Oryzias latipes: one gene and its partner. The protein of the gene in region 2 interacts with the protein of the main gene of each other region in a biochemical or structural test. Links are inferred from orthologs where the notes say so. Each region holds a gene or a part of one and is shown on either strand. Other genes may lie near its edges.

What was found.
Region 1: the proteins of prkcz (region 2) and pard6b form a complex in vitro, tested with the Homo sapiens proteins (2 studies listed by BioGRID). The link is inferred for Oryzias latipes from reciprocal best matches to the Homo sapiens genes PRKCZ and PARD6B.

The regions. Positions count from the first base shown.
Region 1 is NC_019865.2:4,510,521-4,523,317, forward strand, and holds the start of pard6b (partitioning defective 6 homolog beta), read right to left. Parts: upstream 7,266-12,797; 5' UTR 6,952-7,265; coding exon 6,889-6,951; intron 5,769-6,888; coding exon 5,546-5,768; intron 1-5,545. UniProt on the Homo sapiens protein: Adapter protein involved in asymmetrical cell division and cell polarization processes. Probably involved in formation of epithelial tight junctions.
Region 2 is NC_019865.2:32,860,479-32,873,263, reverse strand, and holds the start of prkcz (protein kinase C zeta type), read right to left. Parts: upstream 7,259-12,785; 5' UTR 7,047-7,258; coding exon 6,970-7,046; intron 1-6,969. UniProt on the Homo sapiens protein: Calcium- and diacylglycerol-independent serine/threonine-protein kinase that functions in phosphatidylinositol 3-kinase (PI3K) pathway and mitogen-activated protein (MAP) kinase cascade, and is involved in NF-kappa-B activation, mitogenic signaling, cell proliferation, cell polarity, inflammatory response and maintenance of long-term potentiation (LTP).

The DNA of each region.
Region 1 (12,797 bases), about 28 Mb from region 2:
CTGAAGCCACATCCCCGAATGCGGGATCCAGTCGGCCTGTCCCGGCAAATCGAGCCAGCAGACGTGATCAGACGCTGGCCACATTCCACCCAGGAAACCCCCCCACCCCCTCCATTCATCCATCCCTCTCCCACTCTCTTTTTTTTCTTTCCCTCCCCAGCTCGGGCCTCCCTCTGCATTCCTCCCTCGCTAATACTCTTCCCACTCCCTCTCCTCTTACCTCTCCTTGTGTTCTTATCACATTTACACGACTCCCTCTCCTCACTAATTATGTGCCTTGCCACAACAATGCTTTCTGCCTTACTCAGACCGGCGTGCCGTTAACTCTGCCTCCCGTCCATCCCAATAGACCCCAGCAACCCCCCCTCACATTCCTTCTCGATCGCTGAATCCATCATCTGCTCATTACATGCACCATCCTTCAGAATAATGCATGCTCAGAGGAAGAGTTTCAACCCAAAGGAGGATTCTTTGACTTGACAAACGGCGACATTTACACCTGTCGCTTGAACGCCGCTACAGTCTCTTGATCTGAGCGCTTCTCGCGTGGCGCCGTCCTCATTCAGTCTGTCTTTAATCATGTTCTATTTTTCATCTGCTTCTGGAGCTGCCATATTTCCCCTCTGACAAAAGTACTTTTTTGTTTTTCGTATTGCAGTGCATGTGTGTGAACTTTCACAGTCCACATTTCCATGACTCTGGCTCGATGACTCATGCACAGGTTACTAACTGCAAAGGCAGTCTCAGCTATGATAGGTAAATAAAGGCATTCCTGTCCCTCCGAATATGCTCGGCCTTTGCAAAGGTATGTTAAAGAAATGTGATCCGGTCTGAGCTCAAATTACGATTCGGATGACGAATGCTTTCAGGTTCACATTGTCTTTTGCACTTAAAAAATAGCAAATGGAGAACAAGGAAAGAAATCTCTCATGTTCAAAGACCCACTGATAAAAATGGTGTTTTGGGTGTTTTTAACATGTTCAAGTGTCATTTTTCTCATGATGGAGGACACATATAGGGAAATTCAAGCTCAAAATTGCATTTCTGAGCATTTCTTTATTGAAGCCATAGTAATTCAGGAGCAGACGAACAAAAGTTGTTGGTAAAACATCGTATTGGTGACAAAGAAAATACTCTGGGTGGGGCCACAAGCTTCATTTTGATAAATTCACTAGTAGACAAATGGATCCATCAACGTCTTTGTTTTCCTCGTCTGAGCTGGAATCTGGATCTAAACTGTACCAATGGATAGTTCTGATATTGCTCGCCATTTTTGATGGACCGCTAATGTCAAGTTGGGGCTGTGAGCGGCTGAGAGCTAGAGAGAGAGTGTACCCTAAGCAGAAAGCCCAGAGTTATGGGCGAGAGGAAGGGGGGTGGGGTTGCTCCCAGCCAACAATCCCGCCGCTTTACAGAAACCGTGTCCTAGAAAACAACAAAGTTTTTTGATATGGGCTAAAAACAGCAGAATCATAAAGACCAATGGGAAAGCTTTAAAAACTAGATCATAAGATGATCAGAGTGAGACTTTAAAGCTTTTTTCCCCCCGGTGTGTCGAGTTTTTCTTCTACAAGAAAAAAAAACTTAAAAATATTATAAATTTAAGGAAATCGTGATATTTTTTAAAGCCTGACATGGGTTTTGTTACCAATCAGCAGGTTATCGATCATTCCTCTGACCTTTTTTTAATCCTCTTAAACAACAAAAACAACAAATGTCAGACGGGGTGACTGTGAGCCAGAAACAGCTTTGTATCTGAGCGGCTGGCAGCTGCTCCTTACCGTTACAAAAATAGAAATCCTTCACATGAGAACAATAACAAAAATATTCCAAGAGATAAATGACCTCGGCATTATTCACCTTAATATTTCGCCTGCAGCAGCTGAATGCTGGTGCAAAGATCGTCAAGAATGCTTAGCTTGCGTAGAAAAGAAACCCAACACTGACGTTTAGGAAATGCCTCCAAGCAAATCTCCTTTCGGAGTGATGTCATGCTGTCTGGGTGTCGCTTCCTCCTCATTACAGCTCTATCAGGTAACCCAGCCTGTTTGTATGACACACATTTCAAAATAACAAACCCAACAGTCCTGACATAAACCTCTCTGTCAGGAGACCCCACCTATGGAAAGCCTCTTGAAGCCTACACATCACCGGCAGCTCAACACATCGTTCACAACACGGGCGTGGTTAGAGGGGATGTCCACCGGTGGACGGAGAAAACCTTCCAAAATGACTGGCACAGAGGGAAGCGGGTCACACATCCTTCCCCGAACGCCTCAACAGCAGCTCTGTGACAGCGGGCGTACGCACAAACAACAACAATGTGGGCTTTCTTCAGGAACCAGACTGCAACAATGCAACAACACACTCACAGCCCAACAACCATGCACTGAAGCATCTGCACAGCGGTAGAAGGAGCGCGCAGAAGGCCAGGAATATCACACACCATCTGCTGTGACGCTAAACTCTTCAAAAACCATCAGTCAACGTTTGGGGGGTGTACCTTCCCCTCTCCCATGATTCAATAAGCATCGGCGTACGCTGTCCACGCTTAAAAACATAAAAGATTCAACTCATTTTGTGGTGATATGATACAGTACAACTTTTATCCCTAAATGGATCCAATCTAGATATTTATTATACATTTGGCATTTAAAAACATACATGAAAACGCCTTTTAGTAGATAAACTTGTTTTAGATTTTGAGCAACAAAAATGAAATGCTTTTTGCCATAACTTCTTCAATTCATCTCAGGCCGTTTGGCAGAAGCAAGCTTATGATTGGACGTCTTTTTGTCTGCATCACATGTACATGAAAAGGCAAAGACAGCAGAGACACAACAGGAAGAGAAACCGACAAACTGGTTATTTACTTCTTTAACAATTTAATAAATTTTTACCGACATAATCTTGGTCAGAACGGCCGTTACTCTCATAACTAGACCGATTTTTCTAAATGTACCGGTCAAAGTGGATCGGTTCCTTCATTTATTGCGGAGGTAATGTTTTAGAAATAACCTGCCATCGCAGAAATCCACCAAATAGGGTTACAGATGTTTAAAAGCTGTAAAACCCCTAACTACACACTTTTATCTCTTCAACCTCTCAAAGTTCGAAGTTTGATAGAAAAATTATTCCAGTATCGTAGAATAAAACCAGAGATCGGCTCGTGATCAAAGGTTGATGTCATTTTGGTAAACTGAAGGCATTCTGTACAGGAGACACGGTACAAACGAGACTGATTGACATGGTCTAAAGCCACATGGGATGCAGAACACAGTGTGCTGTGTAAAAAAAAAAACAAAATATATATATATATATTTAAAATAATTAATAACAGCATGCAAAATTGTACTGACAAAATCTGCAAAACTGCGACATAGTGAGGGAGCACTATACCCCAAAACAGGAAAGTTCAGGCTTTCAAAATTTGTGACTCAAAGCATAACACTCTAAACTGGTTCAGTGTCCTGTCTAGGCAAAAAACCCACGCTAAAACCCATTAAAAGCATGCATGTTTACAAAATATTTAGCCTTTTGTTTCTATCATATCAACTACCGTACTCAGAAAAAGTTTACATGAACTGACATAATGCAAAACAAACTGCAGGACGTTGGTGTTATTGTTTAATGTCTCCTGAATGCTCCTTCACAAGCACGCGTCGAAATGTTTTCTCGCATTGCTGCAAATTCCTGCCCTCCGTGTGTCATGAGACGGACGCATACCGACACCCCTGTGCTTTCATGAAGGAGCTGCCGTGAAACCCCAGGATCCACTTTAGGCCTCCTCTGTTTGCTGGAGCCTCACCTCCTTCAATCGCAGGAGATTACAGAAGAAACGCGTCATTTTTTTTCCACATGGATGGATGGTTGTGCAAATATTGCCACAGGTTCACCACAGGAGCATCCGTCTCTCTGCCACAATTCCTCTTAAAGCTATTTATGATCCAAAGTCAACAATACACAGCTTTTTAAGAAAGCTGAACTCTGTTCAGATGCTGCCGATGCATTTTCTATTATTCAAATCGACTATATTTATTTCATTTCCAGTTTGACACAATTGAAAATTGATTTGTGTGGTTGTAATACACTGAAATCAGATTGTTGCTTAAGTTCCTTTCCTTTTTATTCTAAAAAAAATGAAGGCAAATTCTGAATCATTTTCAAAGGCAATTTTCTGCGTCTGTTGAGTTATTAAGCTGGGACCAACTGGTGCCTGACAGGGGGGGTAGTAACAAATCAGCAGAGATACTAAGCTCTGAAGTTAATGGAGTCTGTGGGGTACTGCATTAAGTCACCCCCCCCCCCATTTCCTCTATTCCCATTTTTCAACGTGGCGTGTGGCGGCACACAGCTTGTATGTCTGCAGCCTGGTAGCCTCCGTTAGCATGCGTCGTTTTTGCTGCTGTGTTTACGAACGGCAGCAGACGCAGCGTGGGTTTGCCTTTGTAGCGTGTCATAGAAACACCGTCCCATGCAGCACTGCACGGTGACCCCCACTAATCTCCTCCTGACAAAGTGGCTTAGCCTCTATACAGTCATATGGCACAGCGGGACGGCTTAAACACACGAGGTTTGCCCCGATCAAGCACACCCAGGGGGGCGGGGACGTTCAACAGGTCACGCTCGGAAACTCCCCAGTTGCCAAGTAAGTTTAAAAACCCGAAAGGAGGGTCAAATTTGACCCCAAGGAGACAGATGGTAAAAAAAAAAAAAAAAAAAAATCCTCATTTTTCAACACCATTTCCTGGAAATGCTCAACAGCACAGGAGCAGAACACAAAATCCAAACATCTACTTCTAAAAAAAAGTATTAAAAAGAAGTGAGGACATTTTTCCAAACATTTTTTTTTAAGTTTCAAACCTAGAAATACTCCGGTCAGAGCTGGAAAACAAACAAAAAGGTTTCGGAAAGCATCCAGATCTATGATTACAGCTAAACATGGCTCTCCAATGCATTATCAATTTAACAAATTAATAAAACCCCTGTTTCTAAAGCCGCCTTCCATCTTTTGATCTATTTTCAAAGCGTTCCCGGTGGTATTTTAACAATGATTATGTCACAATTTTGCTCAAATCCAAACACTTGTGTCATTTTCTAGGACATAGTTTACTGCAGGGTTGCAGTAGTTCATTAGAAATTTGCCTCTGAGCACGGGGCAACCCCGCCCCGCTTCCTCTCCCTGGTGCAGAGAGGTCAGAGCGGGAGCTTGTCTGTCACTCACCAAGTGTATTTTCTGCGTCACAAAGATGCTCATTTTCAAACAGCATTTTTTGTCTGCTCCTGATTCACATAGATTTGAACACAGAAATACTCAGAAATGCAACTTTGAGCTAAATGTTCTTTGAATATGTCCTCCGACACCAAAAAAAAGCCACAAGAACATGCTGAAAAACTGCATTTTCATCGGAGTGGCTCTTTAAATATCCTTTTAAATCCCGAAACCTTCAGCAGAGCATTGTATACATTTGATCATTTCTGTTCAGGTGAGCAGTTTTCACCTCTCAGACAAGCACAGAGCAGTTCAAAGTCTTCCTGTTCTTACCTTTCCTCTGCAGAAACAGCCTGAGCAGAGGGTTGGCCGTGGAGATGGCCTTGTGGTAGTTGTCATCGTTGTTGATGGGCAGCAGGTCGCCGTGCACGTCGGCGTAGCCCACCAACAGCTCCACGTTGGGGATGCGGTGCACGTGCTGCAGAAGGCCGTAGAACTCATCAAAGCGCCCCGGCTTCGACCGATCCAGAGAGAACCGACGAAACTCTGCACCAAACTGACCCGCAAAAAAAATAAAAATAAAGTTTTGTCAGCATTAATTACAATACGAACATGTAGGTGTTCAACTACCAGTATTGTCTGTAAAACATGAATAATAGGGTTTCTAAATGAAACATGGATGCAGTAAATAGAGTTAATCAGTTTTTTTTTTTTATAAAAGCTGCATTCTAACACGCCGTCTGAGCTCTTCAGTGCAGCTCAGAGACTCTGTACTATAATGTCTCCTGGCTAATGTTGATGAATACGGACGGGTTGTTGTGGTTACTGTTGCCAAGCTCCACAAAAGATGATGAGAATTCAGTGCCAACTTGGCCAGGTTTACACCAAAAGAAGTGTGTTAGGCTCAGGTTTTTGGGAGGAGACACCCTAAATAGAACCAGGGATGAGTAGAAAATGACCAAATAACAAAATATAAAACTCCCAAAACACAAATTGTAGAGCAGAACTCCGTAGAATCAACAGAGGGACGGTTGTAGTTTGTGTCGACATGCGCACACATGAACAAAAACGAGTTTAGAGGCGCTAAAAAAAAGAGCCTATTCTGTCAACGGTGTGTGTAATCATGCAACAAGCAGGCTCTGGCGGAAGGAGCCGGCCTGTCGCAGGCCGAATGACACCTGTGCACGCGGGAGGGGCGACGTCGCCCTAAGTTCGGGGCAGCCGCTCCTGCCTTCCTCCGGTAGTTTCAATCAACTAGAAAGATGAGAAAAGTCCCGCGAATGCCCCCCCCCCCCCCCCATCCCCCCGGGAGGGAAAAGCGGTAAGAACCCCGGCTCTAAACTTTAGTGAACGGGTGGCGGGAGCGGCGGAGGAAGCGGTGACAGGTGACACGAGCTCACCGCGGCGTCAACTGACGTTAACGTAAACCCTCGAACTACACCGAGAAGAACGACGACGCCACTCTCACGTTTGGCGGCGCGTCGACGTCTCGATCGATGTTGTGGAAACAATAACACAAAAATGTTTAACATTTTGTTCATGTGTTTTTTTGCGCCATCATTAATCTGGTACCGGGCTACTTAGCAGGCTAAATTAGCAAGAGTGACAGATTAATGACCGCGGAGTTGCGATCACAAACACATCGAACGGAAACGGTAAAGGAGTCCAGGGATCACCTTGCTCTTCACCTCCACGGCACTCAAAGAACGGCTGCTCGGCACTCGGTGGTTTTTGTTCATGTTTCGCTAGCAGCGGGACAGCCGCCGAAGCACACCCTCTCTCTCCGCTCCTCCTGCCGCAGCCGCGTATCCCCCCCCCCCAAAAAAAAGCGTCCGCCAGTCACTTCTCCGACAGCAGCAGAAGACGTCCCGGTTCTCCTCCGCGTGCGCCGGTTCGTTTATATCGGTCCGGAAGTGTCCAACGAAGGCTGTCAACCCGCCTGGCTCAGCGCGTGAACTTCTCTCGTCTCATAGCTGCCGCTGTGCGTGGACCTCGCGCTGCGTCCGGTTGTGTCTTTGCGACTCTTCTCGGCTGAATGCCCAGCCGCCCTCCGAGTGCCTGGAAAGCTGCGCCCTTCAAAATAAGAGTCGTTGACATTTCAATACATTTAAAACTTCAAAATAAGACTCATATTTATCACTATTTTGAACAAGGACGTCATGAGAAAAACTTTTAATAAATACAAACAATATTTCTGTACCGTCGAGGGACAGATAATGTGGATTAGGGATAATATTTAAAGTGGCAGACATTCAAAAAACATTTTTTACATTTTCAATAAAAAATGTCTACGTTGATTCAAAATGTACACCATCATTTCAGGAAAATAAAGGAAATTTGGGTGATGGGTTTACTTTTAATTTATGAAGTATGATTATTATTATTACCATAAATATTTTTTTCCTACTAAATAAAAAATATACATATATTTTTTACTTGAAGTTATTAAGCCCTTCCCAATAAATTGCAGATGCAACGTTATCGCAACATAAGCTGTGCAATACGCATATCGCAAAAGTTGGCAAAAATCACGATAAATGGTTACCTTAAATGTGCTAAAACAATCAAATTATCATATAAAATAAATCAGATCAGGAATAAACATTTTATCTCAAGTTTGGACTCAAGCTGGCACCATTGACAAATGCAAACAGATGTTTTAGCTTTTTGGCAAAGCAAAAAAGTTAACTTGCTCCCAAAAATTGAAAACTTGGTGAATTGGACCAAGAAAAGCATTGAAACCAATTTTAAGGGATTTTACTCTCATTTTAGTTTGGTGCAGAAGTGAAGCCATGATAAAGTCCACTTGTCATTTTGGGTTAAAACAGTTTAGATTGTATTTGGGTTGGAGGGAGCGTTGAAGAGCGGGGACGGACGACCGAAATCAGTGATGATAGTGTAGCGACCTGGGGGTTAGCCCCGCCTTCAGCCCCTAAGGCTCATGGGAAGTGGGGAGCTTAGGGTCAAACCTTGAGTCAGAGGGCTGGAAGCTGAAGTCACGATCCATGCTGTTTGGGCTGTATATTGGCTGGAATGAACAGGCTTTTTGCTTAAAAGCTAATATTGTCTCTCTCTACGTTTCTTCCAACCTGAGACTGTCAGGGGTCGTGCGGTGTATGGGGCACGGACAGATTTCCATTAGGACCACTTCATGAGCAGTTGGCTTTCGCTATCCCACTAAAGTGACGGTCCGGCCGGATCGTTACAATAGAAACAGACTTTCAATGGCTGCAAACTAAGTCAATGTTGTTTTTATCTATGCCTGCAATTTATTCACTTTTTTCCATACCCTCACAGTCTGAGTCAGAACATGCTCCCTCTTTTGGTAGATTTTGCTCTGAAAAGTCTGTAAAACAACACATCAACTGTTACCCAGTGCATGTGAGTGTCGGGGTGGGGGGCTTTGTTCCAACTTTTCAAGCAACTCAACTTTCAAAAAAAAAATACTCCTTTTAAAGCAAAAACTGTAAATAATTATAAATAATAAAAATCATTTGTTCTTGTGTTGTGCTGAAAAACAGACAGCTGATCATTCAGAGGAGAAAATAGTGGTTTCTAATTATCATTTTGTCTGAAAAGATTAAGTAAAAATAGGTAAAACCACGAAGATTCCATTAAAATGGTCTTTAAAATGAATAAAACAATAAACTTTTGTGTTGTCTTTTTGTCTGTGAAAGATGCTGTGATGAATATGTACAGCCTGGTGTGTATGTGCGTGTGTGTGGGGACATCTACTGGCCAAAAAAAACACAAAAGCTGCTAATGGAGTTGGGTTGTCAGTATGGTAACACTTCTATTTTCTTTTCTTTTTTTATTTAACCTTTATTTAACCAGGAAAGTCCCATTGAGATTAAAAACCTCTTTTGCAAGGGAGTCCTGGCCAACAAGGCAGCACATTTCAAAACAGAAAATACATATAAACAAGCATCGGTGAAACCACATCCGTCATCTAAGAAATGTAAACCGAGTGTAAAAATGATAGATTGGCAGCATCACGAAAGGCAAATGTTAGATATTGAAACAAGAAAGAGAAAGAATAGCAGTGAATATTTTTGATTTAAATAAGTACAGCACTGTGCAATTTGTCACATTTATGAACATGATTAGTGATAAAATCCAATTAAATGTCATACTATCAAAGTACACGGCGTGCAGCCAAGGGCTCCTTAACCTCTTGGAAAAATGAGACTATTGAATAGAAAATGTGATTTTATTTGAAGGGAATCTGCATTGTTTATTTATCCTGATTTGTATGTTTTTTTCCCACCTTTGTAATGTTTTAGTTCCAGTCCAGCCTTTCATTTGATTGAGATGCTGTTCCATGACCTTCTCCATCTAAAACCCTACATTAGGCTTCAATTTTATATATTAAAGTTTTACTTTTCATTTTTACTGTTTCACCTGTTTGATCCTACATGTCTCCAAACCTTTGAGCTCCACTTTCAGCGCATTTTTCGGAAATACCATCGTTACAGCTTCAATGACCTTAAGTGACCTCCCTCCCTGCTTCCCTAAAGTCCATGTCCGCTGTGCGTCTGCAGACGTCCTCTGTCCACCTACGTTTAGTGGCAGCAGAAGTCACAGAGAAGCACATTTCTGCTCTGCATCCTCTACGTTTACATCTCACCAACACCACCACCCTTTCATTGGACGGACTGCTGAAAGGTATCTGGGTTTCTTGCAAAATCTCTCAAACAAACAAGACTATTTTCAAACAAAATAGTGTTGAAACCTTTATTGTGCTGCTTAATCTACAGTTAGAACCCATCCACTTTCTGTATTTGGTTTATTTGTAAAATAGATTCTAGACATTAACTACTTTTCACATTTAAAAAACATAAATTTAGCATTTTCAAAGAACTGGAGAAGTTACATTAAGCAATAATGGAAATAAACAGAATCATACTTTTAGAACCTCATTGTTTAAGGCACATTCATTCTATTTTTTTCCCTCATACTAAAAATATTTTGTTGTGAAATCAGACTGTTGAAATTGACTGTCCCCTTTAAGAACAAATATATTTTAAATAACTAAAATAAAAGCACTGTGAATTTGCTTAGGTCAAAACAACTTACATATGAGATAGAGTTGCATTGCTTAACGTTGTGATCATTAAATAAAAAGGAATTTTACAATTCATTTATTGATATTGAGGTAGAGTTTTTTTCTAAGTCAAACTCTTAAACAAAACAAAAAAAGTGTTCCAGTAAAATATCATGATAGGTATCGTATCGCGGGATGCGTATCGTATCGCCAGATTCTTGCCGATACACACCTCTAGAATTTATGCCAATCATTTATTAGAACAGAGGAAACGCTCAAAATTTAAAACAAACATTTCAAATACTTTCAATAAAATGGAAATAATGTCCAATTGAAATTCCTGAAACCTTCAAATATAACGATGAAAGGTTAAAAACTTTGAGGTAAAGAAAATGTTTTCATACCTTTTTGTTTCAACTTAAAGCTGTTGGGACTTTAATGTTTGTATAAATTCAAACTGATTAAAAGTTATAAATGAAAGTTACATATAAATATGAAATCAGATACCAGCAATAACAAAAGGAAACCTTTAACAAAAAAAAGGGCTGAAAAATGAAGCATTAAAAATCCCCCGCATGGCAGCAAACCAACGACAGAGCAGAGCAGCAAGCAAAGATCTATGTCGACGCCAGCAAGGCTCAAAGATCCTCGGCTTGTTTCACATCTTTTAGAAAAAATTCTGGAAACGTGTTTATAGAAGTTAATTTTTTTTTTTGTCTTTAAAGAAATATTCTGGAATGTGATCACATCATTGAGAAAACAAAATCTGTTACATTTACAAGAAATTTTCTGCAAAAACAGAGAAAAAAATCTGAGATTTATTATCATAAAAAAGCAAAAACAAGAGATTTAATTTTTGTTCCTAGAGCATATGTAAAGAAATGATCTTTCAAGTAAGCTTTATAATTAAAAACGTCCATGTCAGGGTTCTGACTTTTTCCTTAATAAAAGAGAAGAACCACACAGGAGATGAGAATGAGAATCGGTCTGTCACAGCGCGAACTGTCACGGAGGAGTTCTGCCTTCCTAGTGCATGGAGCCTCTTTTAATTGAAAACTGAAGGTTGCAAACATGAACGAGGGTCATTTAATCAGGAACTACAGGAACATCATATTCTTGTATAATCAGAACTTTTCAGGTCATTGTTTACTTACTGAAAGATAGAACTGAGACAATCATATTATGCTGATAATAGCGTGTGAGCAAATGATAATTACGTAACTCTAACAGTCCATATAATCTGATACTTTGGACAGAATCCTGACAGGACTGTATGATGAATCCTTGGGATGCTGTATTTCACTCTGCTATTGTATTTCTGTGTAATTTTCATTAAATATTGATTTCATATCAATATGGTTGTTTGGTTATTTATCCAATTGTTGGCCCAAAATGAGGACCCTGTTTGCTGGATTTTGTTCTGGCACATAAAAACAGGTAAAAAAACAGGAGAAAAGAAGGTTCAGTTTGATGTCTTCAGAAAATAAACTTTACTTTCTGAATGGTCCAAGGCATTCATCTCATGAATAATTTGTAATCTCTTTCATAATTATCTTCATAGTGAAGGAGGAGCCAGAAGTGGGAACCATCTCTCTCGTCTATCCCTCCCACTCCCATTTCCTCCCTCATTTACCCCCCCCCCTCCCCCCATCCCCAACCTCCATTACGAGGCACTGCAGATGAGGCCTCTTGTCTCCCGATAGTCTGCATTGGCTTTCTTTAGCCCCCCCCCCACCCATCACCACCACCTCCCTGCCTCTGGTTTGTGTGACACTGTGGTTTGTCTGACCTCCAGTAGCACGAAACTGTCAAAAGGAGGGCGTGCTACAGCACTTACCCACAAAGAACAGGAGAAAAAATGTATTTAGAAAAAAAAAAAAAATCACCCCCCACCTTTTCAGTTAGTTTCCATTTGCCCCACCTCAGGGGGCGCCGTGTGTAGAAGACACCAGAGGCTCACGTCCCATCTCTCCTCTGCCCAGGTCAGCACCAGTTATTGTGTTTTTGGACCTGGTTATTGCACTCAGGTGGAGGCACAAAGCGGGTCAGGTGGGGACAAATGCCAAACTGTGACCCAGACCCGGCTGTAGTTACCCCCCATCCTCACCCCCCTCCTGTTATCGACAGGGGTCCTCATTGTCTTTGCAGCCTCTTTGTGTCTGACAGCATACTCACCCGTCACCTCCTTCTCCATCACCCATCTGTGGGTCCTTGTGTTTGTCTCCGACTCCCCCCACCCTCAAGCTTCTTCCTCCACCCAATTTTCTTCCCTTTCCTATCTCACCCACATCCCCCGCCCCCCTCTGAAGCTCTCCCCCTGCACACAGCACTGCAGATGAGGCCTCCGCCTCCCCCACAGTCTGCCAGGCCTCTCTAGCTCTCTCCTCCAGCGTCTCCCACCTCTCCCTTCCTCCCTGCCCTCCCTCATTCCCACTCCTCACAAAGGCATAGCAACACTCACCATGTAGCCGAGGAGCCTTGCCTCCCAGGGTCCATTTCCCATGGTTTTACATCCCATTGCTCCCAAGATGGCAACTGAAA
Region 2 (12,785 bases):
GAAGAAGTAAACATTTTTATTTCCTGATGTTCAGCACCAGGACCACAAAGACACACGCAGTGGTCTAAGGGTCTACTCAGACTGGAAAAGTCCGCTGGTCCGGATCAAGTTTTGACTCTTGCGTTGGGTCTTTTTTCAGACTGCAGTAAAGCGGACATTTCTGTTACAAACCAAAGCTTGTAAACCAAAGCACATGACTGAAAATCTCTTCAGTCATTGGCCAAACCCACCAGAGGCATGTACAGGGTCTGTCCCCAAAAACAGTTACATCCCCCAACACAACCACTCCACCATCAGTAACTTCTGAGAGAAGAATCGTGACGCCTGGACGCGCAGAGAACCTTCAGAGCCTCATGAAGGTCCTGCTGAGAGCTCACTGCAACACAGTGAGCTCTCAGCAGAAACCAGGAACCGCAGGGTCCAGACCCCAGGAACACCTCATGGTGAGGAGGCTCTCAGATTTAGACCTGCAACCATTCATCATCATCATCATCATCAGGGCTGCACGATATGAGGAAAACTCTCGGTTGAAATAATAACAAAACAGCTAAATACATCGTTTCTGTTTCACTGCAACAGTTTAATTTAAGTTAGAGTCAACAGAACTTTAATTATAGTCCAGATTGGGCCTGGGTGAAAAATCGACTGAATGAATTAATTCGAATTCTTTGTTACGGGCGATTTAAAAAATAACTAAATCAAGTTTTTGTGTAATGGCGCATTTTTTGGCTCCCCAGAGCTTCCGTAGCGTTGGTTTCACACGGCGGTATGGCAAGCGACAAACAACAACATCCTAGCACACATGAAACAAGTGACAGCATGGCTACCGGTGAGAGAGGGAAGTTTGTTCCCAAGACAGGAATAAAATCCTTTACTGCCACAGACGTGGAAGAAGAGACCCCCCCCCCCCCACCCCCACGCTACAACATAGCCCTACAGCCCATCACAGTCAAAGGCAGCAGCACCACAAACCTATTCCAACACCTGGGGGAAACCTTTTATTACTGTTCTCCTTCACTCCCTAACTCCAAACATGAACGCACCCCAACACCTGTGCACGCTGTCACTCACTCTCGCATGGCATGTGCTCATTCCTCTGCAACACACACGCATCCTCATTCTACAACACCTATATAGTTATTTCATTAGTTAGATAGTTAGTTGTTACAGTTATTTGTTAATAAAGAATACTGCGTTGCAATTATGACTTGTACCGGTATACATTTGCGGTGGAGGGGGGGGGGGGGGGGGGGGGTTGCGCGGGGTGCGGTTGACCGCGACTCCTGCTGCTTCATCTGGCGGTGATCAAAAATCCCACACCGTCGCTACAAAACTGGGGCGAGTAATGACCCACTTAAATCGCCTTAAAGGAGATATTTATTTTCTCCAGGAAACTCACATGCCCAATAAGGAAGTTGTGCGACTTAAAAAACATTGGGTGGGGGAAGTCTTTCACTCCACATTTAATTGCAGGGCCCGTGGTGCAGCCATAATTTTCCATAAGGATCTTCCTTTTATTGCAGAAAAGTCAGTGCTAGACCCGAATGGCAGATATGTAATAGTTTCTGGGAAGATTCAACTAACATCCTTTCTATTCATCTGTGTTTACGGCCCTAACTGGGACGACAGTGCTTTTGTTAAAAAACTTTTTTCATCTTTTCCAGATCTCCAAAATCACTATATAATTATGGGTGGTGACTTTAATTTTGTGCAGGATCCGCAGCTTGATCGATCTTCTAACACTTCTGCCCCCCCTACTAGAGCAGCCAAAATGCTATCGACTCTCTCTCAACAGTTCGGTATTACTGACCCATGGGGGCATAAATTCCCGGGGGGAAAATCGTTCTCATTCTTCTCTCATGTTCATCGCACCTTTTCTCGTATTGACTTTTTTCTTTTAGATGTACGACTTCTGTCTAATCTGGTTTCTGTCGACTATCACGGTATAGCTATATCAGACCATTCTCCGGTTTCTCTTGATCTGGCCATACTCTCCCGGCCTCGCCTGTTGAACCAGTGGAGGTTCAATGCCGTCCTCCTAGCTGAGGAATCCTATAAAGAGTTTATACAATCACAACTAACTCTATTTTTTGAATTTAATGACCTGCCAGAAACAAATAGAAGCAATCTCTGGGAGGCCTCAAAGGCGTACATTAGAGGTCAACTGATTTCTTTTATTTCTAATAAGAGGAAAGTGGAGTCTGCTCGTACAAATTTACTTCTGAACGACATCAAGGACACAGACCAATTATTAGCTGCTAGTTTTGATCCAGACTTGTATAAGAAACGACTCGCACTACAGACAGAGCTTGATCTTATCTCTACCACGGAGGTCAGAACGCTGCTGCTTAAATCCAGACAACGTTTCTATGAATCGGGTGACAAGGCGGGGAAGCTTCTTTCATACCAGGCAAGGGCTGAGGCATCTTCTAGGCTTATTCCAGCAATATTATCTCCAGCGGGTGTGACGATCACAGACCCAGTTAGTGTAAACGAGACATTTGCGAAGTTCTACTCGACTCTTTATACATCTGAGTGTCCACACTCTCCAGATCTTGCGCTTGATAAAATTACTTTTCCACGTGTCACTGATGAGGATGCTGAAATTTTAGGTAAACCCATCACTACGGCAGAAGTCTCTGAGGCCATCAAATCACTCCAAAGTGGTAAGGCACCTGGCCCTGACGGTTTTACCACTGAATACTACAAAACCTTTTCCTCCGTGCTTAGCCCCTTCTTAAAAGATATGTATAATGAAGCCTTTCTCTCCGGCTGCCTTCCAAACACTCTCTCAGAAGCCACAATATCTCTTCTCCTTAAGAAAGACAAAGACCCTCTACTTTGCAGCAGTTACAGACCCATTTCCCTTCTCAATGTTGACTTTAAAATTCTGTCTAAAATTCTGGCTTCCCGTCTACAATGCGTTTTGTCTACCATCATAAATTTGGACCAGACAGGTTTCATGCCGGGCAGATTATCGTCGTGTAATACTAGACGCCTTTTTAACATAATTTCTTCGCCTTGCTCTGTAATGCCTGAGGTCATTCTCTCTCTTGACGCAGAAAAAGCCTTCGATCGGGTCGAGTGGAGCTTTCTATTTAACATTCTATCCCGATTTGGACTGGGGGGAGGGTTTGTCGACTGGGTTAAACTGCTTTACTCTTCCCCCAAAGCTTCAGTTCGCACTAACAATACGTTTTCTCCTTCCTTTTCTTTACATCGTGGCACAAGGCAGGGCTGTCCTCTTTCTCCTTTGTTGTTTCTTCTGGCTATTGAACCATTGGCCATCTGGTTACGCTCAGAAGCAGCCTTTATTGGCATCAAGCGTCTAGGCACAGTTCATAAGGTCTCGCTATATGCGGATGATCTTTTGCTTTACGTTTCAGACCCTATCACCTCCGTTCCCATCATCCTTAATATCCTACAAGAGTATAGCAATATATCTGGCTACAAACTTAATTATCAGAAGAGCGAACTTTTGCCTATCAATGACCTAGCCCGAATGATCCCTTCCTCTACTTTTCCGTTTCGGTGGTCACCTGGTGGGTTCAGATATCTAGGCATCCAGGTCACCCCATTATTGTCTGGGCTCTACCATACAAACTTTACCCCCCTGATTGACAGGACAGAGAGGGATTTTTTACGTTGGTCAGCTCTGCCGATCTCGCTTGCAGGTCGGGTTAGTCTGGTCAAAATGGCCGTCCTTCCCAGGTTTCTTTACCTATTCCAACATCTTCCAATCTTCCTAGGCAAATCATTTTTTGACAAGCTAGACAGGACCGTTTCATCATTTTTATGGTCGGGCAGGCCGGCTCGTATCCGAAAATCAGTCTTACAAGCCCCGAAGGATGAGGGAGGACTGGCCCTGCCAGTCCTAAGATTTTATTATTGGGCAGCAAACATCCAGAAACTTCTTTTCTGGATGAACGATGACAATGAGGCCATTTCAAGCTGGACTCAGCTGGAAGGGAAATCTTCAGAATTTTGTCTGCGCTCAATACTGTGTGCACAGCTTCCCCTTCCCAGTGTCCATACCTGCCCAGTGGTGTCCACTTCTTTGAAAATCTGGAGTCAATTCAGGAAACATTTCGGCCTTATAAATTCCACAGTCCTCACATCAGTCTACAAAAACTGCAGATTCGATCCGTCCAAAACAGATCTGTCATTCAAACTATGGCACAGGAATGGGATTAAATCAATCTCTGACTTATACACTAACAATGTATTTTCCTCATTTGAACAATTGTCAAAGAAATATGCCCTCCCGAATCAGCATCTCTTCCGTTTCTTCCAGATCAGGGACTATGTTAAAAAACTGTTTCCTCATTTTCCAAATCGCCCACCAGAAACTCTTCTGGATGTTCTTCTCTCCAAAGACCCTTTTGTTAATGGATGCATTTCAAGCGTTTACAAGTCAATTTGGACAGCATCCTCAAAGCCGTCCGATACTGTCAAAACTGCGTGGGAAGACGGTCTAAACCTTAACATTACGGAACAACAATGGAGGTCGGCATTGTCTCTTGTCCATTTGTCCTCTATTTGCGCCCGCCATAGATTGATTCAATGTAAGATTGTTTATAGGGTCCATTACACCAATGCCAGACTGGCCAAAATCTATCCTTCTATTAGTGATGCCTGCAGCAGATGCCATCTCTCTCCTGCCAATCATGCCCATATGTTTTGGTCATGCCCAGTGATCGCAGCTCTTTGGACAGATGTATTTGATACACTAACGAGGGCTTACAGATACACCGTCACACCAAATCCCATGTCGGCAATATTTGGTCTCCCCCCAACTTCAGACACGCCGAGTGCACTAAAGCGGGCCGTTGCATTTACCACCCTATTAGCACGCAGGCTGGTCCTGCTGAACTGGAAGCTCCCCCGTCCCCCTTCGCATGTCCGCTGGGTCCGCGAGGTGCTTTACAATCTCAAACTTGAGAGGCTTAGGTACTCACTTCATGGCTCACTCAGGGTGTTTCATGAGACCTGGAGCCCTTTCCTACAATATGTGGACTCCTTGACATTTCCTCACAATCTGGAGGCTGACTGAGCACCAGTGCAACAAAAAGCCACTGCTGTTACCCTGGTTTTCTCACTTATTACTACGTATTTAATTACCTTTTTTTTTTTCTTTTTTTTTTTTTTTTTTCTGGACGTATTTCTTATTTTAAAAAAAAAGAAAAAAAAAAGCCCAAGTGGTTTGTGTTTTTTATTTATTTACTTTTTTATTTTTTATTTATTTATTTTATTTATTTATTTATTTTTTTTGTGTCTGACTTGGCCTCTGGGGGTTGTTGACGGGGGTGGGTGGGACGGGTTGACATGTGAGTGTTTATTTTTACACATTGCCTTTTTTACATTTCATTTTACACTCTGTATGTCTGTTTAATACAGAAAATGTTCAATAAATAAAGTTATAAAAAAAAAAAAAAAAAATCCCACACCGTCACAGCTCTTGTTTATATCTTGTGGGACACAGAAAAAATGCGACTTCTCTAGTACAGATAGCAGAACCGTTGAGGTCAGATCTTAACGATACTGCAGTCTTGAAGAATGTTGCCCCGGGGCTCGTTCAATACCGGGGCACGGTACCCATCCCTATGAAAGGGGCACGGTGGCATATAGCCAAAGAGATGGTACCCATAGATACCGTGGAGAAGACGGGGTTTATTAATTGAATTAAAACCTTAGATCCCAGATGTGAGCTGTAATGTTAATCCTTTAGAAAATGGTGCTACTCTCAAGGTGAATGTTTGTCTCCTTTTAGTCTAGACTACAAAGTGTGACTTAAAACCCAGCTGGGACTTTGATTCCAAGAGTGTGTTCATGTACTTATTATTCATCCCAGAAATGGGGGTTACATTTGTCTTGCGTTTGATTAGATAAAAGCAAAATTTGCTTTAAGTTGTCTGCCGTTTGTACTTATTGCTTTCCTTAAGTAAGGGGGGGGGGGGGGGGGACATCGGGGGGAAAAATCTTAAAATCGAATTAAAAAGTATAAAATCAGAGATTTTATTTTTAGGCCATATCGCCCAGCCCTAGTCCAAATGACCCTTGTCTACATAGGAGGCCAGCATCTAACATCTAATATGTCAATAGTTTGGATCATTAACAAAGATTTATTACAAATATGAACTAAAATGATTAGTTTTGCTTTAATATAGATGCTTAAAGACTTCCTGTTCAATCCTCATGTGTGGGATAGAGAACCAAAGCTAAAGGTTAGTTCCAGACTCATCATGTTTGTTCTCCTCATCAGAATAGCTCTCCTCCCCCTCAGCTTCAGGTGACAGGGAGAGCCGGACTCCTCACTGCAAGAATGAACTTCAGTCCAGGCAGCAGGTCGCCCCGGCAACCGCTGGTCCCACAACAACTACAGCTCATTAAAACCACAAGGAGGGATGTTTTCAAAGCTCAAAGATCAATGGAGACACAGGAAATGAAAGTTCACCTCTGAACTAGAGCAAAATAAAACTCATTTCTATCAACTACTGGTTTGTTCAGATGAACACACACTGGGAGAGGCGTTCACGTGTCTCCCTTTAGATCATGGTTAGTGACGTCCTTCTGCTTCACTTCCACCTGTTCTCTGACCTGCGTGGGTGAAGAACCTCCAGTTCCTCAGACAGGTTTGAAGGAACCGTTCTGGGGTTCCTGCTGTCAGAGTCCACCCATCAGCCACTGCGGCGCTCACCTTCATGTCCCGAACTGAAGGAGAATGGAGGCTTTGGGACCGAAAGTCCATCAAACCTTTCAGTGTCTGATATTTCTGGTGACCAGCAGGTCACACTGCTTTCACTTGTGGACTTATTTAACTTTCCTGCAGTGAGAAAGTCAGAAACGGTGTTTTTGTTTTACTCATTCTTGTGGCGGCAGGTGTGCCCGCGCGCCCGGCCCGGCCCGGCCCGCTACACCGCGCGCCGCCTTGGCTCCGCAGGTGTCCACGCGCCGGAGGAGGTCACTTACCCGCGGAAGTGCGCTTTTATCTTCACCACCTTAGAGGCCAGGTCCATGATGGATCCGTTCGACGTCAGCGCGTCCATCCCGCAGTTTGCTGAAAGTCCCGGGACAGGCCCAAACTTTGACGAACCCAACCTGCGGGTCGCTGCGGGGCATTCAGCGCGACTATCCCGCGCGGACCCGGGAGGAAACTTCCGGAAAGAAAACTAACGGAGCGGTTTTGAAGTTTTTTTACGGTGCAGAAACATTAAAGGCTTCGGAGACGGTGGAGCCGTCAAGCTCTCGATAACTACTAGGCCATTTCCGCTCCACACTTTCAAAATAAGACAAATTGAAACTATGATAGGCAGCGGCAGCATTGAGGAAGAGGCCGATGCTTTTATTTTGAAAGCACAACTGTAGGTTGCTCACTTCGCAGCTTGATAGATTTCTGTGGCTCTCTATGGTTACGGGGGTCAGAATTCACCTGTCCCGCTCCGCTCCTCGCGGCGGGTCCGCTGCGACCCACAGCGGGAGTGGCGGTTCTGGCAGCCACACCAGTAGCGCCCCTCAGTTTCCCCCAGTTACTACCCAGAAAAGTACAACAGCTTATTATGGTTTACTTTATGGTTCAAATATTTCACTATTAACAATTATTTTAAAAAGCAACCAGAGGCTTGTAAATTCGTACAGCTTATAGGACTGTTGGAAAAAAAATACCAAAAGTAACAATAAGTCTTACAAGGATAACAACACACATGTTTGCTTGAGGCTTGAAATGACCTCCATGTAAAAAATCTATTAACAACTAGTGCAATTTAAGCTTGAAGCTTATTGAGACAACTTTGCTAATATTGGGCTACATACATAATATTAAATTAAAAATTCTCATAGCTTACACTATGAACTTGGTCTGCTTCTCTTAAACTAAAAATGTGTCAGTCTTGCATTAATACGGGCAAAGTCATCAGTCAAACCCTGGTTTGTTAGTTTCTCAGTGGTTGATGATTAGAGCTACCAGACCAGGTAGCTGATCTTGAGCCTTGGATGATCTTAGGAACATTTTGATAAGCTTAAGCTTTCTTATCCTCACATCTAATTCTTTTCTAGTTTTCATGCAGTGGATAGGATCTATTGTCATGTGAGGTGATCAAAGAACTGGCATTAATCCAGGGTCTGTTAAACTCATTTTCCTTTTGGAAAAAGGTCTGCAGCAAAAACACGAGAACCTTTTTTTTAAGTACACCAACCACGTTTTTTCTCCTCTCCTCCACTAACTAAAGTTCATCTGAAGTACTGCTGATGGCAGCTTCCTCTATCATTCTCATTCTTGAGAGAAACAAATGTGGATGGAACCTGAATTCCTCCTCTGCAAACCAGATGTGTTGGATTCCTGTCAGTCATGAGGGGCAGTTAGTGGGTCAGGGGGCAGCTCTTCATCCACTGAAGCCTCTGTAATGGATGTGGATGTTTTTGTGTTTGTAATCCTAAAAAAGTCACATATATTGTGAATAAATAAATGTTTGAGGCAGTATGGATTATCATACATTTCATGAAATTATGTTCACACTGTGACTATAAAAATACATATCATATCTACTACACTAGTAATTTAAATGATGTGCAAACCTGATGTTTCTTGCTGTTGTGGATCAGATGCAAATGGGCCTTCAGCGTCTGTGGAAATGTTTGGTTCTGCATCCTGACCCAAAACAGCACTCAAAAAAAGGAAATTACCAGCCAATTAAGTTAACGAAAAAGTAACTTGTCATTTCAACCAGAAAATTTTATGTTTGTAAATCTTACGTGAATGAATCATGTCGATTGTACATAAAAATAATCCATTTAAAAGTTACTAATTTCAATCATGTTGATCCAACGTGATACCATTAAATTGGATGCATTAGTAATCGCAAGGAATTGTGGGATACCATTTTCTTTGTCTATCTGGGCAGATTGGGCTCTAAGTGTGAGTTTTTGTCCCTGGGTTTTATTGTCTAGCTGTTTTACTCTGTTTTAACTAGTGATTTAAACTGTTATGTTTATTTTTTTTTGCACCATGAGTTAAAGTTTGGTAGAGGATGATGACCAACCCCCTGGTGTGGTAGAATGCTAATGTTCCAATACTTAACACAGAGTTTGTGGCAATTGAGCTCCTGGCTTGTGATGTGGGACCTTGCTGGGTAATTCATGTCATTGATATGAAAATTAAAAGACCCACAGGTTGTAACTTTGGAACAAAGTATCAATTACAGATGTGTAAATGAAATTAAAGAAAAAAATAGAAATTTAAGTTAAATAAACTTAATTTTCTTATGTGTGACCAATTCAAGTGATTCAATTAAATTGGATCAACTTTCTTCTTTCTAGAGTGAGCAACAATATCAATTTAAAGTTGGGTGCAACTGCTGTATTTAAATTGAATCAACTTAAATTTATTAGTTTGAACCTAAATACATTAAGTTGACCCAACCTAAATACATTAAGTTGACCCAACCTAAATATATTAACATTAAGTAGGACCAACATGATTCATTTTTGTTCATGTAACGCAATCTAATCATGTGGAAATCCTTTCCATAATTTTTTTATGTTCATTCAAAGTGAACGTTTTTTGAGTGAGGTTCTGAAGTGATCCCGTCTCCTTCTGAGTGACAGACTGAGGTAGATGGCTGTGGGACATCTGTATCGTCTGGGACCACAGCAGCTGCTCCAAAAATATTTTAGAAGTGCATCTAATATGAATAGAAAAACTGAACATTCCTACAAAATATTTGAAGTAGAGGGGATCACAGCTGTATATATTTAATGCAATATCTGACAACAAGCTGAGGAACAACCACAAAATAATTCTAATAATACTGAGAATAAGAGACAAAGTACTGAATATATGTCATTAGAAATATCTAAATAACGTGACAGCGGCTCATAATGTTGTGTTTTTTGCTATTTTAATAAAAGTACGAGTGAAGGAATTAATTAAAATTGATTGGACATGAGTGAATATAAAATTGTATTTAATTATCTTAGTGCACACATTTAGTTTGGATGAACTAAACGTTTACGCTAACAATAGCCTTAGCCTAACTCTTCAAATATTATTGTGCATGTTTAATAAAGTTGTCTTAGGTTTACATCAGAGTAAGCAAGTTCAGGCGGATTTCAGGCAGAGTTCAGGGTTAAAGTCAGGGTAGTTTAAACATGCTTCCTGGAATACCCCCCAGGCTAAACCAATACTTGTCATAGTGTTTGGGAGACTGGAATTGGGTTTGAAAATACATTCATGGTGAATGCATAATGTGATTTGGTGTGAAAGTAGTTTGAGCTACAATGACAGAGTTAGACTGAAAAAGACTCCCAATTACCTGTGAGTGTGATTCACCCAGCCATCGGTGAATCCCCCCCCCCTTGAATTTTTTGCCTGAAGTTCCAGAGACTATGCAAAGAGGTGAGGGCGCAAGTTTCAGGGTCGTCCAGCAGAGGGCGCCGTTTGACATTTAAATTAAACCTTCAGATAACGAGAATGGATGTCGTCACTATTCAAATTAGAGAAAGGAAATAATGAATGATTTTTTTCCCCTCGTCCGTGCCGCCCCCTGGAAAATTCTGCCCTAGGCGACCGCCCATATCAAAAACCGTCACTGCACAGCGGAACATGACAACTCTCCGCCGCTAACACTTTAACTTTCAAGCTCACTTCGGTTTAGTCCATCCTTCTGGGCGCTGCATCACTTCAGCGGCGGATAGAAACATTGAACTGTTTTCTCTCAGCTTTTATGACAAATCTATAAGACAAAAGATGAAAAAAAACCTTCTGAGACTCTGAAAGGATTTTTCAGCCAGAATCTCTGGAAGTTCTGCTGCAGTGCCCCTCCCCTTTTTAATTGATTGTTGTGGTGGTCACCCTCATGACTGGACCCTCCAGTTACACATTAGATCTAGGTGCAGGACAGCTCACACTTCGGCTCCCTCGCCCCTCTCTGGTGATTACACATCTAAGGAAAACAGGTTTTGGGGACCAGGCAGCCCTGGCTGATGCAAGTCCACCAGGAAGACTTTTCTCCAGTAACCATGCCATTTTGGCACCGTTGTTTGTCTGCAACAGGTTGATGCTTTTCTTGAATGGACTTTTCCTTTACAGGTGAAGGCTTCTTCTCCTCATCCTCCTCAGCAATCATTGGTCTTTATGTGTACGTCTCATCCATTGGTACTGGCATGTTCTCAGAGGATGGACTCTGATTCTTCAACAGAATCTTCTTCACTGCTCCTCGAGTCCACATCTGAAAGTGCTTCAAACACAGCAAAGGCTTCCAGAGGAGGGAATGTCTTGACTGAGCGTCCTGCTGCCATTGGGATGTTTGTCTTCTTGACTTGAAGATGTGTCTTCTATGAACACATGTCCCCAATCATCAGGTAACTGTAACCCCATGCAACCCGAGAGTTCAGGTGGGCTGTTAGTTGAAATGCACATGCATACATGCTGCGTTCACATATACTTGGGCTGTGGCTCACCAAGGAGCCTCTGTGCTACAAGGATGCACTCCTGGACTGGGGGTGGGGGGTATTTGGAAGCACATGTGTCTCATAATTCAAAATAAAAGTCAAGACTGGAAATGCTTTTTCATTTTCACGATGAAGCTGTGACTCAAAATTAAAATGAGTCATCAATCTGTCAAATGGTTTTTCATTTTCCACTTAAACAGCTTATTTTGTCACTTCATTAAAATTATAATGAAAAAGGTATTTGACATTTCATTTTCAAAAAGTTCTCTGGTAAATATGTAGCAAAATTCATTTAGAAATGTCTAATTTGACAATTAACATGGATGAACAGAAATGCTTTTTCATTTTCAAAACGTAACTGCATCAAATGACTCAAAAATAAAATTAAACATTCAATTCAATTTTCTTTATTTCAAACACAAATGAAAATAAACACACTAGAGTTTAAAATAGATAAAACAAGATGGTGTGCTTGAAAAAGAGCGGGTTGAAGAGAAATCATGTATGACTCTGCCCTTTTTTTTTTTACAACACCTGATGATTTACGTATTTCTATTTACAATTTGGTCATAATATTCACATTACAATCTGCATAGCACCTATGCAGAAGTGACACGTTTGTTTTTATCCAGCATTTTTGGCCTTGAACGGATCCATCAGTAGCCGCGGTTACATGGGCAGAATATCTTGATCGGATCAATGGTCGAGTTAAAGTTCACCCGTGCACATGGGCACAGAAAACCTTTTTCCGATTAGAACAAACCTTCACATGGTCACACTTTCGGTCGGAATGAATGATTTGGGCATGCGCAGTAGTGTAAAATCACCCGGATGAGGAAGTAGGTCCCGTGGTAAACAAACCACTGCCACAGACAGACAGCATGTGCAGCAGCTCCCTAATACGAGACGATCTTCCAAACGTGCTTTTATTAATGTCATGAATATTATGAAGTGCCTGTTCGCTCATCGTTATATTTAATCCGTGTGGTCAGTGCTTTTTTGTGGAAGAATTAAGCTGGAAGAAGGGTTAGGGCAGGCTAACACGGGCTAACATCATTAGCCTTGATGGACACAAAATCCAGGGCCGTGCAAGAAACACAGCAATCTGCGTCTTGGCTGCACGTAAATGTCTGGGAATAACATCAGCCTTTATTTTGTCGGCACACGACTGGAAACACAAATCCACATGATTGTTTGGACAGTTTCTAAGGACTGAGCGACATTTATTTCTGCTCTGAAAGGTTAACACACCGCCCCAAAGCCACTCTGTGAGCTAGCGGCCCGAGCTCTGTTCGAACACGGTTCCTCCTGAGTCCTGCAGCCGCTAACCCAGAGCGGCG